2 linked regions of the Kluyveromyces lactis genome follow. The protein of the gene in region 2 purifies or fractionates together with the protein of the main gene of each other region. This does not show direct contact. Links are inferred from orthologs where the notes say so. Each region holds a gene or a part of one and is shown on either strand. Other genes may lie near its edges.

Region 1 (7,566 bases), on a different chromosome or scaffold from region 2:
GCCAACAAGGACTTCAAGTAAGCTTCATATTTAGAATGGCCGAAAGCAGCAACTTCACCAGTTGAGGCCATTTCAACTCCGAGAACTGGATCTGCACCAGCCAAACGTGGGAAAGAGAATTGAGGAACTTTGATTGCTACGTAGTCATCAGGAAGTTTCTCCACTGGGTAAGGGGTTACAGGAATGCCCATAATGGCCTTAGTGGCCATTTCAATCAAGTTAACACCAACAACTTTCGAGATGAATGGGAACGAACGAGATGCTCTAACGTTACATTCAATAACCTTAATTTCGTTGTTCTTAGCAATAAATTGAATGTTATATGGACCAGTAATCTGCAATGCTCTACCGATTTTGGCAGTGGCTTCAACGATTCTACGAACTGTTTCAGGGTCTAAATCTTGAGGAGGAACAATTAGTGTAGCGTCACCAGAGTGAACACCTGCGTTTTCAACATGCTCAGAAACGACATGCATAATCAATTCACCGTCTAAGGCAACTGCGTCCATTTCGATTTCCTTAGCATTTTCAATATATTTGGTGATAACAACTGGATATTCACGAGAAACTTCCACGGCCTGGTTCAAATAAGATTCCAAGTCATCCTTAGAATAGACTGTATTCATTGCGGCACCTGATAAGACGTAGGAAGGTCTGACTAAAACAGGATAGCTTACTTTTTCAGCAAAATCCTCGGCCTCATCCATGGAAGTCAATTCTTTCCAAGCAGGTTGGTCAACATCGATTTGATCCAACATACGTGAGAACTTATAACGGTTTTCAGCAGAATCGATCATCTCTGGAGAAGTACCTAGGATCTTAACATTTTCACGGTGTAAAGACATGGCAATATTGTTGGAAGTTTGACCACCCATAGAAACAACAACACCAGCAGAGCTTTCCAATTCGTAAATATCCATAATTCTTTCTAAGTTAATAGTTTCGAAGTAAAGTCTGTCAGCCTCATCATAATCGGTAGAAACTGTTTCAGGGTTGTAATTAACCATGATTGTTTTGAAGTTATTTTTACGCAAAGTTCTAACAGCGGTAACAGCACACCAATCGAACTCAACAGAAGAACCAATACGGTAAACACCCGAACCCAAAACCATAACACCGTGGTCATTGAAGTCCAAATCGTGAGCAGCTGCATTGTATGTTAGATACAAATAGTTTGTGTGTGCTGGGAATTCCGCAGCAACAGTATCAATTTGCTTTACAAATGGAATAATGCCGTATTCTTTTCTTAGACGACGAATAGCAACTTCATTCGAATTCAAAAATTTAGCAATTTGTCTGTCTTCGAAACCTAATTGCTTGGCTTGCTTCAAAACCAACGCTGGTAGGTTCTCCTTGGACCCATAAGAACTGATCTTGTCTGAAAATTTGATCAAGCTATATAGTTTGTTCAAGAACCATTTATCAATATTGGTTTTCTCCCAAACTTGATCGATAGAATAACCAAATTTAGCAAATGCATTAGCAATGGCAAAAATTCTCATATCAGAAGGATTACTTAACTCATAGTCGATATCAAGTTCATCATCAGTTTCACTGAAACCAATATTAGAGTATTCAGTAGATCTGATAGCTTTTTGAATCGCCTCTTCGAAAGTTCTACCGATGCTCATGACCTCACCAACAGATTTCATTGAGGAAGAAAGCAGAGTTGAGACACGAGTGAACTTCTTCAAGTCCCATCTTGGCATCTTAACAACACAGTAATCTAAAGAGGGTTCGAAACAAGCACAGGTAGAACGAGTGACCGAGTTCTTGACTTCGTATAAAGGAATGTTTAAACCCAACTTAGCTGCGGTATAAGCTAATGGGTAACCAGTGGCCTTTGAAGCTAGGGCAGAGGAACGAGATAGACGAGCATTGACTTCAATGATACAGTATTCTTTTGAAGTTGGATTTAATGCATATTGGATGTTACATTCACCAACAACACCTAGATGTCTAATGACGTTAACTGCGGTAGTTCTTAACATATTGTAATCCTCGTCTGATAGGGTTTGGGATGGCGCAATGACAATGGAATCACCAGTGTGAATACCTAGAGGATCAAAGTTTTCCATATTACAGACAGTGATACAATTGTCGAAAGCATCACGAACAACTTCGTACTCGATTTCTTTCCAACCTTTCATGGATCTTTCAACCAAAACTTGAGGGGAAGAAGCAAAGGCAACGTTACACAAGTCGACCAATTCTTTTTCATTCGAAGCAAACCCGGAACCTAGACCACCTAAAGCGTAAGCTGCACGAACAATGACGGGGAATCCGATATCCTTGACAGCCTCTAGAGCTTCCGCAACAGTGGCAGCAGCAGCAGACTTAGCACATTTCTCATTAATTTCGTCCATGGCATTAGCAAATAGTTCACGATCCTCAGTGGTGATGACAGTATCGATTGGAGTACCCAAGACCTTGACACCCAAAGTTTCGAATTCATCTTTCATTTCAATACCGACTGACAAAGCAGTTTGACCACCAAATGTCACGTAAATGGCATCTGGGCGTTCATGTAAAATTACTTTCCTAACGAATTCAGCGGTAACAGGCAAGAAGTACACTTTATCAGCTAGACCCTTAGAGGTTTGAATGGTAGCGATATTAGGGTTAATTAAGATCGTGTAGATACCTTCTTCTTTTAAAGCCTTGATGGCTTGAGAACCAGAATAATCAAACTCACCAGCTTGACCAATAGATAACCCACCGGAACCCAAGACTAAAACTTTCTTGACATCTTCTCTAGGATGAGCAGCCAAGTTCTCCTCAATGTTACCGCCTGGGAATTCAACTTGCTTCAATACACCAGTTTGCTTGAAATCTAGAACAGATTGAATGAAGACATCGAACAAGAATTCAGTGTCTCTTGGACCTGGAGTAGATTCAGGATGGAATTGAACGGAGAAGTAAGGCAACTCTGAGTGATAAATCCCTTCATTGGAACCATCGTTAGCGTTGGTGAACAATGATTTCCAGCCATTGGTCAAACTAGTTTCATCTACAGCGAAACCATGGTTTTGAGAAGTGATATAACATCTACCAGAGACAGTCGAAGTACATGGAATATTGTGACCTCTGTTACCGAACTTCATCTTCAAAGTTGAGGCACCAGAAGCACGAGCTAGTAATTGATGACCCAAACAGATACCGAAGACTGGGGTCTTCTTCGCATCTAAAACTTTAGTCAATCTATCGGACACTTCCTGCAGAATGGCTGGATTACCAGGACCATTAGAGATGAACAAACCGTCATATTCTTCGGTGGTGAAGTCGTAATCCCATGGAACAACCAACAATTCAACACCACGCTTGACGAAACAACGGATTTGGTTGTACTTCATACCCACATCAACGGCAACAATTCGTAAAGTTTTTCCGTCAGGACCTTGAACAAGATCGATGTCTGGGTGGTTTGGAACGAAAAGCTTAGGAGCCTTTAGGGAAACCTTTGCCACTAAATTATCAACATTTGGATCAACCCATTCTGGAGTTTCGAAGTAAGACATCCATTCAGCAGAGTTGGCATCCTCGAAAGAGGTCCCGGGCTTTTGTAGAGCGAATCTACCCAACATGGAACCAGCTTCTCTTAAATGTTTGGTCAAGCTTCTGCTATCAATACCGTAGACAGCTGGAACGTTGCTCTCTTTCAACCAAGTACCTAAAGAAGATTGAGCTAACCAGTGAGAATATTCTTCGGTGTAATGAGCAATGACTAAACCAGCAACATGAATTCTGTTGGATTCAAAATAACGTGGTAATCCTTCCACGTATTCATCCATTAATTTACGGTCAGGGACACCGTAGTTACCAACCAATGGGAAAGTGATAACTAAAATCTGACCCTCATAAGAAGGATCTGTGATGGACTCTGGGTAACCGACCATACCAGTTTGGAAAACCAATTCACCGGCTGCAGTGGTTTCGGCACCAAAGGAGTAACCTTGTAAAGTAGTTCCATCCTTTAATTCCAAGGTAATCATACGATCACCAGTAGACTCCATTGGAGGGGTGATAGGAGCAGTAGGAGTGATAATAGACATAACGGAAGTTTGTATTTTCTTAAGCGTAAAGGGTGTTTCAAACGATGAACTAACCTATTGGATTTATTTTCACTTCTTTTGCTTCTTTAAAAGCAGCAACGGGGGGGGACTTAAAAGTAAAATAAAACAATGAGGTTTTTTACCCGATTGGATCCTTTCTAACTATGTGTAATAATGAAAAGAATCGCACTAAATGAATGGCAATTGATGTTTAAGTTTATAATTGACTCTAATTTTACCTCTCTTAGTTATAGGTAAGAAATTAATCAATTAAGTGGTTTTTATTCCTTTAAAATTAATGTCTAATCTTAGATCGTAATTTTTTGTTGAAATTAGAACTGTTAGTAAATCAGGCCCTGATGTTCGTGTGAACTTCCACGCTGTTTAAACACTTTCAGCAAAAAACTTCGCTAGCTTCTTCTATTGATTATTTCCAATCTCTAATTTAACCAACATTTATTCGTTGGTCAATCTTAAAAGTGACTATTAATCAAATTTCAATCTGTTTCTTTTTCGTGCATCCATCCAATTTTACTTTTTTCTATGGTACCTTCGTAACTTTCAGGCTATCTTCGAGCTACGCAAAGTTTTAGGCCTCGTAAATTCGACAAGAGTGAAGGCGCAAGTTTGAATCTCATGCAGTAATTATAACGTCAAATTGTTGTTACCCTGCAAAAACGCATTTGCTGGCCGTTCGCTGTTGAAGAAAAGACTGCGATTGCAAACTAACAATCCGATTTTTAACTTGGATGAATAAGAGGAAGTAGAAAAAAAATGTCATAGAATAGAAGCTTAAAGCATTGCTTAGTAGCCACTTAGAAAACCAAACAGAAAACAAAAAAAAAGAACATACTAAAACGAATAGTTTCAACGACTGATACACGAACTTTCTCTGCTATTAACACTCTCTCTATCTCTCTCAAAGGTGGGACTTAGAGGAAAGGGGGGCGGCTGTAAGTTTATTTTTTAGCTGACTACTGAGAACAAGAAGAGACTAAGTAATAAAAGTATTTAAAACAGAACATATAGTAATGGTGAATGGAAAAAGGAATACGATAATTTAGAAACAAAATGATTATTCTAAAATATACTGAGAGAATAATGAGTATAATAGTACAGTAAATACACCGAAACTAAAATACTTCAAGAAAGTACAAGTAAAAAAAAGTTGTGACAGATCTTCAGAAGTATCATTAAAAGGAAAACGATATAACAATTCAATGGGATTCGTACCCCTCCTTATATACAAAATCACTCTTGATGGGCGGCTAGGTGAAGAAAAAAAATTTTCTCTCGGTTGTTTGGCTGTAGGATCTCTAGATGCGATGAGATGAGTTTGGCAAACCGCGGAAAATTTTTTAGATGGAATTGTTTCTTTTCGATGGACATTTGTAGACAAATCGATAAATGTTTCCCAAAAATTACAGACATGCAGAAAAACATTATGGACATAGAATCCGTACACCACTGTTCGTTTGATGTGACTTGATAATGACTCGTTAGGGCTTCCAATACCTCCGACGGTGATGTCACCGTTTTCCATCGGATATCAGGGTAACAGTGATGAGATCATCTCGATGCAATGCATACTATACGGCAGTAACGCGCATTCTGGGACAAAGAAAGCACAATGAATAAGGTTTGATTACTAGAAAGTCCATAATGTGTCTACCTATTATGTTTTACCCATGATTTTACGAGTGTTCAATTCTGTTCTTCAGTCAGTCTGGAAATTAGAGGTGATAGAATAACTCATGCTATTTAATAGCATATTTAATTTAGGGTGTAGAATGTGGTCTTTTGTACCATCGTTGCTATCTGGGTGAGCTATTCAGAGATTGCATTGAACCTGTAGAATGTGGTGAATGCAATGAGGTAGAGGAATTGATGTGATTGAAGATTGGTCCTGAGCTTGAAGTTTCCGTATTCTTGCTGTTTGAATTGCTGTTACTGTTGCTATTACTGTTGGAATTATAGTTCGAATGGTCGAATGCTTCCACGGTATTTGCATGTACACCATCCAAACCTTTGTGCTCAGTAATACCCGATCTCAGATCAAAGGAATCTCTAAACACGTGATATTGGTTGGGGGTCATAGATCTGTTGTCATAATGGTGGTTTGAGTTCATGCTGTGCATTGGATAGTTGTTACCATCCGAAAATGTTTGTTGTTGTGATTCATTGTTAAAAGATTGGTTACTTTGCGTGGACATCATGCGGTCCGTTGTAATGGTATCATCTAACGATCTAGACGTCATGGTTCTATGTGGCCGTGGTTGATGACCCATACTAAACGCAGAGGTTAAACCGTGCCATACGGAACGTGAACGGTCACGGAACCGGTCTATATGTTTGTTACCAATCGAAGATGTCGAATCAGCGACAGAGGTGGTTCTGTTATCATGAGATGTAGATCCATTCAATCCTAAAGTTGTGGGTCTCCTAGAGTGAGTCAACTCATGGAGTAAATCATTTTCCTTCAATTTCGCACTTGGTAAGATGATGGCACGATCCAAAGTATAGGGCAAACCTCTGTGTCTTCCTCTTATCAACATTGCAATGATGACTAGTTTTGATATAGTTGTGAATTGTCCTGAAAACGATTGATTGGAGCCAGGGTATCCAAGGGACAATCCAACGGTACCATAAGCACTTACAACTTCGAAGAGACATTGAAAAACGGTGAAACTGGGTTTGCTTGGATCTTGGATCTTCCCACCTTCGCAGATACAGATAATAAAGAGACCCAAAAACATATACCATAGATCGAAAGACAATTGTCTACGTAAATGTGCTCCAATGAAACTTTTTGTATTCTTTTCCGACCCATCATCTTCTTGATTTTCTCCATTCCCGTAAACACCAAGCGATTGCTCTTCGTAGACATTAGTTCTTCTAATTGAAATAGCTAAGGGCATCACAGAAACATACATCATTAACATGTACGATACCTGTACAGATGGATGCAATTGACTTAGATCTAGCACGGCAAACCCTGCGGTTCTTGTGCTAACAGCTTGAAATAAACCGTTAAGTACCTTGAATCCAGCAGTTAGATCTTTTACAACATCTGTATTCAAATCCAAAATGATGAATAATATCAAATCAATAGCATTCATTCCAATGAGAATCAGAAAAAGCCACCATGTAGCCGCTTTAGGAAATAGCATTGTGAAACATCTACGAGGATGGTCTAATAAAAACCCTAGACTATCTTTTCTCAAGGACAGATCTGGACTTAGTTTGAAAAGTATCCAAATAACGAAACGGAGAAAAATTGGAAATCCAGTGTTACCAATAACAATGAACCACATCATCCAAATTAACGTGTATATTGACTTGTGAAATGATATCATGGAGTTCGGAGTCAATGTTAATCCAAGATTACCAAATGCACTCATTCCAGTCCAAAACCCCCACCATGTTGGCGAAACACCTTGAGATCTAACAATTTCTTTATAATTGTTCATAGGTTGTATCCACGCAGCGAATATGATCATAGCTAAAATACTAA
Region 2 (6,496 bases):
GGGGGAGGAATTCCAGAGTTTGATAAACGAGGCGCACCATTGGCAGTTGGTACGGAAGTTGAACCGTATCTTCCTTGTCTGGATTGTAGGGTACTGTTTGCTGTCCTTTCTGTTGACCTAGTAGTACTTGTTTTACCGGAGGCAATCAGCACACGTTGCTTTTCACTTTTAACCTCTTCGTTATCGTCCGGTAAAGTTTCCAAAAATCTTAATGAAAGCTCGAAATCGCCATTGGCAGCTGTGACATTGACGAATTCCAAAAACTTTGAGATTAGCGTTTGATTAGTTAATTTAACAGTACCTTTGTCAAGGTAGTCAGATAACACGGTGAACCTTTCCACAAATTCAGTTAAACATTCCAGATGGGCCTCGTATAAGGTGTCCTTTTGAGACGTCAATTGATTTTCAAGTTCAGGGAATTCTTTCAGCCAAATTGACGCAATGCTTTCCAAGGACTGGCCGCTCAAATATAATAAAATAGCATCTTTTCTGTTTCCCTCGTGTAGTAATCTATCACCTAATTTTACTAAAAGTGAATTTTTCTTTGAGATATCTTCCTTGGTGTAGTTGAAAATGAACTGAACAGCATCTTTCCATTGAGAAACATCGATGTTTGTAACAATATCTTCAACATCGCGTTGAGCAACAGAGAATAAAGTTCTTGCCAACCCAGATTGCTCAGAATGCTTGGAAAAGTAGGCGTTCTTCGCTTTATCCGCCAACAAGGCATCATTGGAAGTAATAGCGATCACCAAAGCCTCTAATAACAAGTCCTTCTCTAAAGCCTGATTTAAAGCAGATTTCAAATCACCTTTGATCAAAAAGTTAGTGAGTGGTTTCATTGATTCAGAAAAATCAAGCTTGAAAGCGCCTTCGGGAACGAATTTGTCGTTTAGTTGGTTGAAGAAGTCAGCACCATCTTCTTCTGACTTTTTGATGATGTCTTCTTTGGCATCATCTAATGATAATGCATCTTTCAAGTAAAGTGCAGTTCCATCCATAGATAGATTCTCTAGTAAATTCCAGTCATCTTCGTTTGTTGCGTTGATCTTTTGTGATAATCTCTTATTGATCAATTTCACGAAGTCCTTGGATTTCAAGGACTCATCGAAAAGCTGATTCTTTTCCAGTCCAGAAATACAAGGTTTTACTACACTGACACCTTTACCATCATCGGATATTCTAACCAGCTTACCACCGAATGCCCATTGAGCGGCAGGAGATTTGTTGCCGTACCATTTTGGGGCTTGGATCTTGACAGTGTTAGGTTTGTCATCAACTGAGTTGGAGGTTACATTGTTCCAGAATTCATCCTCAGAAGCATGTTGCTTACTCTCATTTGCCTGAGCATCCAAGGTATTGCTCAAATTTTGCAACGTTTGAACGACGATCTTACTATCAAAGGATGCGGATGCAAATAAATCTGGAGCTTCAGGAGCAAATTTGGATTTAAAGACCCAGTTACCACGTGGAGCGAACTGAGTTAAGATGGAGCCTTCTTGCGGATTCCATAACACCGAAGTGTTATCACGACCACTGGATAACAATAGATTTTCATCTTGTTTGCACCAATCCAACGATAAAACACCCTTTGAATGTCCTTGTGATAGCACTTTCAATGGTACATGAGCATTTCTTAGATCCCACGTTAGGACAAGAGGTTCTGTATCTGAGCTAGAGGCGGTTGCAATAATGGTAGAGCTGGTTGGATGCCAGTCAACAACCGTCAATGGGACCTTAATACCAGTGGTAGAGGAACTGTGGTTCAAATGCAAAACTTGTTTCTTTGCCTTTAAATCCCACACAGATGCATACCCTGAAGAACTGGCTGATGCAAACACATGTGCCAACGATTGGTTCCATGACAACGAGGAAACTTCATCGATTGGAGTATTACTGATACCAGCCGAAAAAGGAGAATAATCTGAAGATCCGATCTTGTTTGAATCCCAAACAAAGATTTCACCTTGAGTGCCACCAGAGACAAGAACATTGTTCTGTTTGGCATTGAACTTCAATGTCTTGACAGGACCCTGATGTTTATGGATCTTAGCAACAGATTTCAAGGCTTTTGGATCGAAAAACTCAACAACACCATTTTCTAAGGCACCAGCAATTATTTTGTCATCGCCCGACCAATCCAAATCGTTGAACTTACCGTCAGCGACAACAGATCCACTAGGTTTAGACCCATCAAAAGACAATAGCGACCATAGTTCTAATGTCGAAGTACTTGAAAAATCAGCATCAATGGCTCCAGATGCAGGACCAGTCGCCAAAACTGGCACCCTATCGTGAGACCATGAAAACGTAGCCGTACGCGGATACTCAGCTAGCTTCACCATTGCTTCAAGTTATCACACGGGTATTAGCTAATATTGATGCGCAAACTCAATGCTACGTGTAACACTGTTTAGCCACCTTTTATTCTTCTGAAAAAGATCAGAACAAGCTGTTGTTTTCCTAAAATTCGGTTTACATATTTTGAATCTTCAATTTCTTTGGTTTCTTCAGTTCCCATCATTTATAAAAACTTCAGCAAATTATTTTTTTGCAGTCGAGATCTGGCCCAAAATTAGGCGAGACACCATCCAAAGGGACAACAACATGGACAATGTATACTCGAAAAGGGATCTTACTACCTATGTTACTGTACAATTATTGAGTTTATAGTAGGTATCCCGCACTAAGTACTGAATATGTTGTGTGCCTGGAGATTGCATAATCTTGAAAGCATTTATATCACGTGATCTCCCGGTGCAATTACGCCAACGCAAACCGCAGCCTGGTCGTTTATTACATAGATCAATAGTGTTGTATTGCAGTTTGGGGATCTCTGACGTTTTTTAACACAGCTTTCTTTTCTTATATTAATAGTCATTAAACCTTTTGTAGCTCAATCAAGCTTTTGGAACGGAAAATTAGTTCAGTGGCCATAAAGAACAATCGAGAGCAAGGTTTAATTGGAAAAGTAAAAACACTGAAGTATAAATGGTTAATTTAGTAGAATACAATACAATAAGTGCAATAGTACATGCAACAGTTAATCTTGAAACGACTATCACAGTCTACAGTGATACGTTGACCGAGTCAATAGCAATTATTCTGTCGTAGCTTCATACTTTCAATTATGTCTGCAGGAGAATCAAAATACTACAAGGAAGCATTAGCGGAGTATCAGGATATGGATAAAGAAGATCCTGATGCCTGGGACAAGAGAATATCGAACACAGGCTGTTACGTAGAGAATCTAGCTTTACAACTTTGCCATGCAGAGACTAATGATTGGAGACAGTGTCTTGGTGAAATGAAACTGTTCAAAGATTGTTGGCAATCCAAGGGTAATGACCAGAGAGTGGGGACAGTCGATGCAAAAGAACATTGAGATTTGCATTTACAGGTGTAAAAAGATCCTTCACTGTGAAGCTTTGTCGAAATACTCCACATATTGTATATAGACCCATTTAATTGTATATGCGAATACCCATCTGAATATTTTTAGTCTACGCAGCGCAACATTTAAATTGACATATTTTAGTTAAGGATAATGAATAATCGTTTCAATACAACATTTACACCAGAACATAACGAAATTTAACCAGTTCCCGGACCATAGGTGAAGTTTCCAAGTAGAATTACAGCAATAGTGCTTTATTGATGATTAAAAGACCATCAAATAGTAAGAAGAAGGCTAATCTTCGAAGATTGACAGGTGCATTAAGGGATTTGCTAGGCGAAGAGGAGCCAAAGAAAGAAGAGAATCTAAAACAAATTACTCGAGATGGTGTGGTTTACATCATGTCTAAAGAGAATCGATTAATTCCTAAATTGTCAGACGAAGAGGTTATGGAGCGTCATAAGAAAGCAGACGAGAATATGAAACGCGTATGGTCCCAGATCATACAAAAATATGAAAGTATAGATAATCAAGGTGATGTAATAGATTTACAAACTGGAGAAGTCATAGAAGATAATGGCCATTTACGAAACTTGAGCAACGAAAAATCAGTTCTACATAGTTCGCTACCAGATGGTGGTTCAGTGTCTTATAAAAGTGTTCTGAATGACATTATGGATATTAAAGACTCATCATATAATTCATCGGTTTGGCAAGATCACGAAACTAACGATTCAGAAACAGGGTCCGAGTCTGAATCTGGTCTCGAAGCCGATGGTTTAGATGAGGGATCTGGCTCTGAAGCAGATAACAGTAATGAAGTTTATATGAAGAAGTTAAGACCTAATCCTGAAAGTAATTAGTTCAGGCGCTTCAGATATTCATTTATCACTGTGTTTACGGTTCGTTCATGTATTGATATATTTTTAAAGGTTTTCTAGCAAATTCGAAGCTTTCCATCTTTTATCGATCTAGCCTTGAAAAAACCACAACAAAAGTACAATGAGAACGGCTGAAAAAGAAGTATAAATTGAGTAAAGTCCATTAGTAACCTCTCTTGACAAACCCAGCTTGTATCATTGATCTTAAAGGTAGGTTACGGCAAAGCGGTTGTTATTTTGAAGAAGCAAACTAACCCTGCATTATTTCTACCTACGTGGAGAAAAAAGTACACATACGAGTTAGCTCATTGAATTTGAATATGAGTGAAACAAGACCTAAGACATTTTTCGATATTTCGATTGGGGGCAAACCTGCTGGTCGGATTGTTTTCGAGTTGTATTCTGATGTTGTTCCAAAGACGGCGGAGAATTTCTTAAAACTCTGTGAAGGTAACTCGGGATTTGCCAAATCCAAACCGGATATACCATTGAGCTACAAGGGCTCGATCTTCCACAGAGTTATCAAGTCTTTCATGTGTCAATTTGGAGATTTCACTAACTTCAACGGCACTGGTGGTGAATCGATTTACGGAGAGAAATTTGAAGATGAGAATTTTACTTTGAAGCATGATAAGCCATTCTTGTTGTCTATGGCAAACGCTGGTGCGAATACCAATGGATCTCAATGTTTCATAACATGCGTTCCAACTCCACACTTAGATGGTAAGCATGTTGTTTTCGGTGAAGTGATCCAGGGCAAAAGGTTAGTCAGAACTATAGAAAATAATGCTACAGATGAAGCTGATAAGCCGGCCAAAGAGGTTAAAATTGAGGATTGTGGTGTGTTACCATCCGATTATACTGTTCCTGCAGATGCAGAAGCGACTCCGACTGATGCGTATGGTGACAATTATGAAGAAAATATAACAGACGATTCGAAGGTTGATCCCAACGACGTCAATAGTGTCTTGAACGCTGTAGAAGCAGTAAAAGAGATCGGTACTAAACAATTCAAGGAGAAAAATTTTGAAGTAGCCCTTGTGAAATATGAAAAAAGTAGTCAAATGCTTAAGCAGTACTTCCCTCAAGATTTACCAGAGGAGGATGTTAAAAAAATTGACGCATTAAGGGTATCCTTATTCTTGAACATCGCTTTGGTGTCTCTCAAGAGTAAAAATTACAGTAGAACACTTAGCGCCGCCACTGAAGCCCTTCATGCTGACAACACAGACGATAAATCCAAGGCCAAGGCATTGTATCGCCGTGGTTTAGCTTATTACTACACAAAAAACGCAGAAATGGCCGTGACAGACCTCGAATTGGCTACTACATACCAACCACATGATACTGCAATTATAAAGGCTTTACAAGACGCCAAGAAAGCCAAAAAGGAGTTGATTGCTAAACAGAAGAAGTCATTATCCAAAATGTTTTCCTAATTTCGATTCCTCTTATAAAACAAAATAAAATGGATACGTGTCTTAGTACTGACTATATATTTCCTCACATCTTATTCAAAATCCTTATCACCTATCAAAGTAAAATCAGATGGAAATATTCAAGTAATTAACCATCAGTTAAATAGTATGCTTCTTGCGATGACGGACATAAGTACGTTCCGCTATTCTCGAATGCATAGCAGATCCCTATCATTTCATACGTATTGCGTACTAAACGACATCCAAAAATTTTCAACTTTGTTCAAGTGGCAAAGAATAAAGAAAACAATGGCCAAAAACAATGCTTGACATGCAACAGCTCATTCAAGGAGAAAAGTCACCGCTCATACACCGGCATTTTGGACCTCCCCACTCCAAACACCAAACTCTGTACCCCTCTAGGATCTTTTGGCTACCACATTAGCTACTTCTTTGTCGTTTCAGTGCGTTACGTTACGTTAAATAAACAGCATATTTGAAGATTGTTAGTGTTTTCTATCAATCGTGTGGATAAACCATCTGAAAGCAATCTATTGAGCTACATTTAAGGAGTTTCATAACTTTGCGGAAATTGCAAGCCTGCTGCTTTAATCGTGATCCGATAAGCCTGCACTCCTATCTTGGATTTAAGGTATTTTTGGGAATCAACCTTTGAAACAAGTAACGAATTTCCTTTGAAGCGCTTATTGCACTTGCAAACTAACAGAAAAAAACTACCAAAAAAATAGAGGTATTCAAGGGATTGAGCGAACTGTGCTATCTACAAAACAATAAACAGA

The links.
Region 1: the proteins of CPR6 (region 2) and URA2 purify together in Saccharomyces cerevisiae (affinity purification with mass spectrometry; 5 studies listed by BioGRID, with this or other methods). This does not show direct contact. The link is inferred for Kluyveromyces lactis from reciprocal best matches to the Saccharomyces cerevisiae genes CPR6 and URA2.

The regions. Positions count from the first base shown.
Region 1 is NC_006041.1:1,367,227-1,374,792, reverse strand, and holds the start of URA2 (bifunctional carbamoylphosphate synthetase/aspartate transcarbamylase), read right to left. Parts: upstream 4,053-7,566; coding exon 1-4,052. Other genes in the region: TRK1 (Trk1p), read right to left, coding at 5,867-7,566. UniProt on the Saccharomyces cerevisiae protein: Multifunctional protein that encodes the first 2 enzymatic activities of the de novo pyrimidine pathway: carbamoylphosphate synthetase (CPSase; EC 6.3.5.5) and aspartate transcarbamylase (ATCase; EC 2.1.3.2).
Region 2 is NC_006042.1:501,856-508,351, reverse strand, and holds CPR6 (peptidylprolyl isomerase CPR6), read left to right. Parts: upstream 1-4,598; coding exon 4,599-5,717; downstream 5,718-6,496. Other genes in the region: SEC31 (Sec31p), read right to left, coding at 1-2,345; COA4 (Coa4p), read left to right, coding at 3,131-3,385; SCM3 (Scm3p), read left to right, coding at 3,658-4,260. UniProt on the Saccharomyces cerevisiae protein: PPIases accelerate the folding of proteins. It catalyzes the cis-trans isomerization of proline imidic peptide bonds in oligopeptides.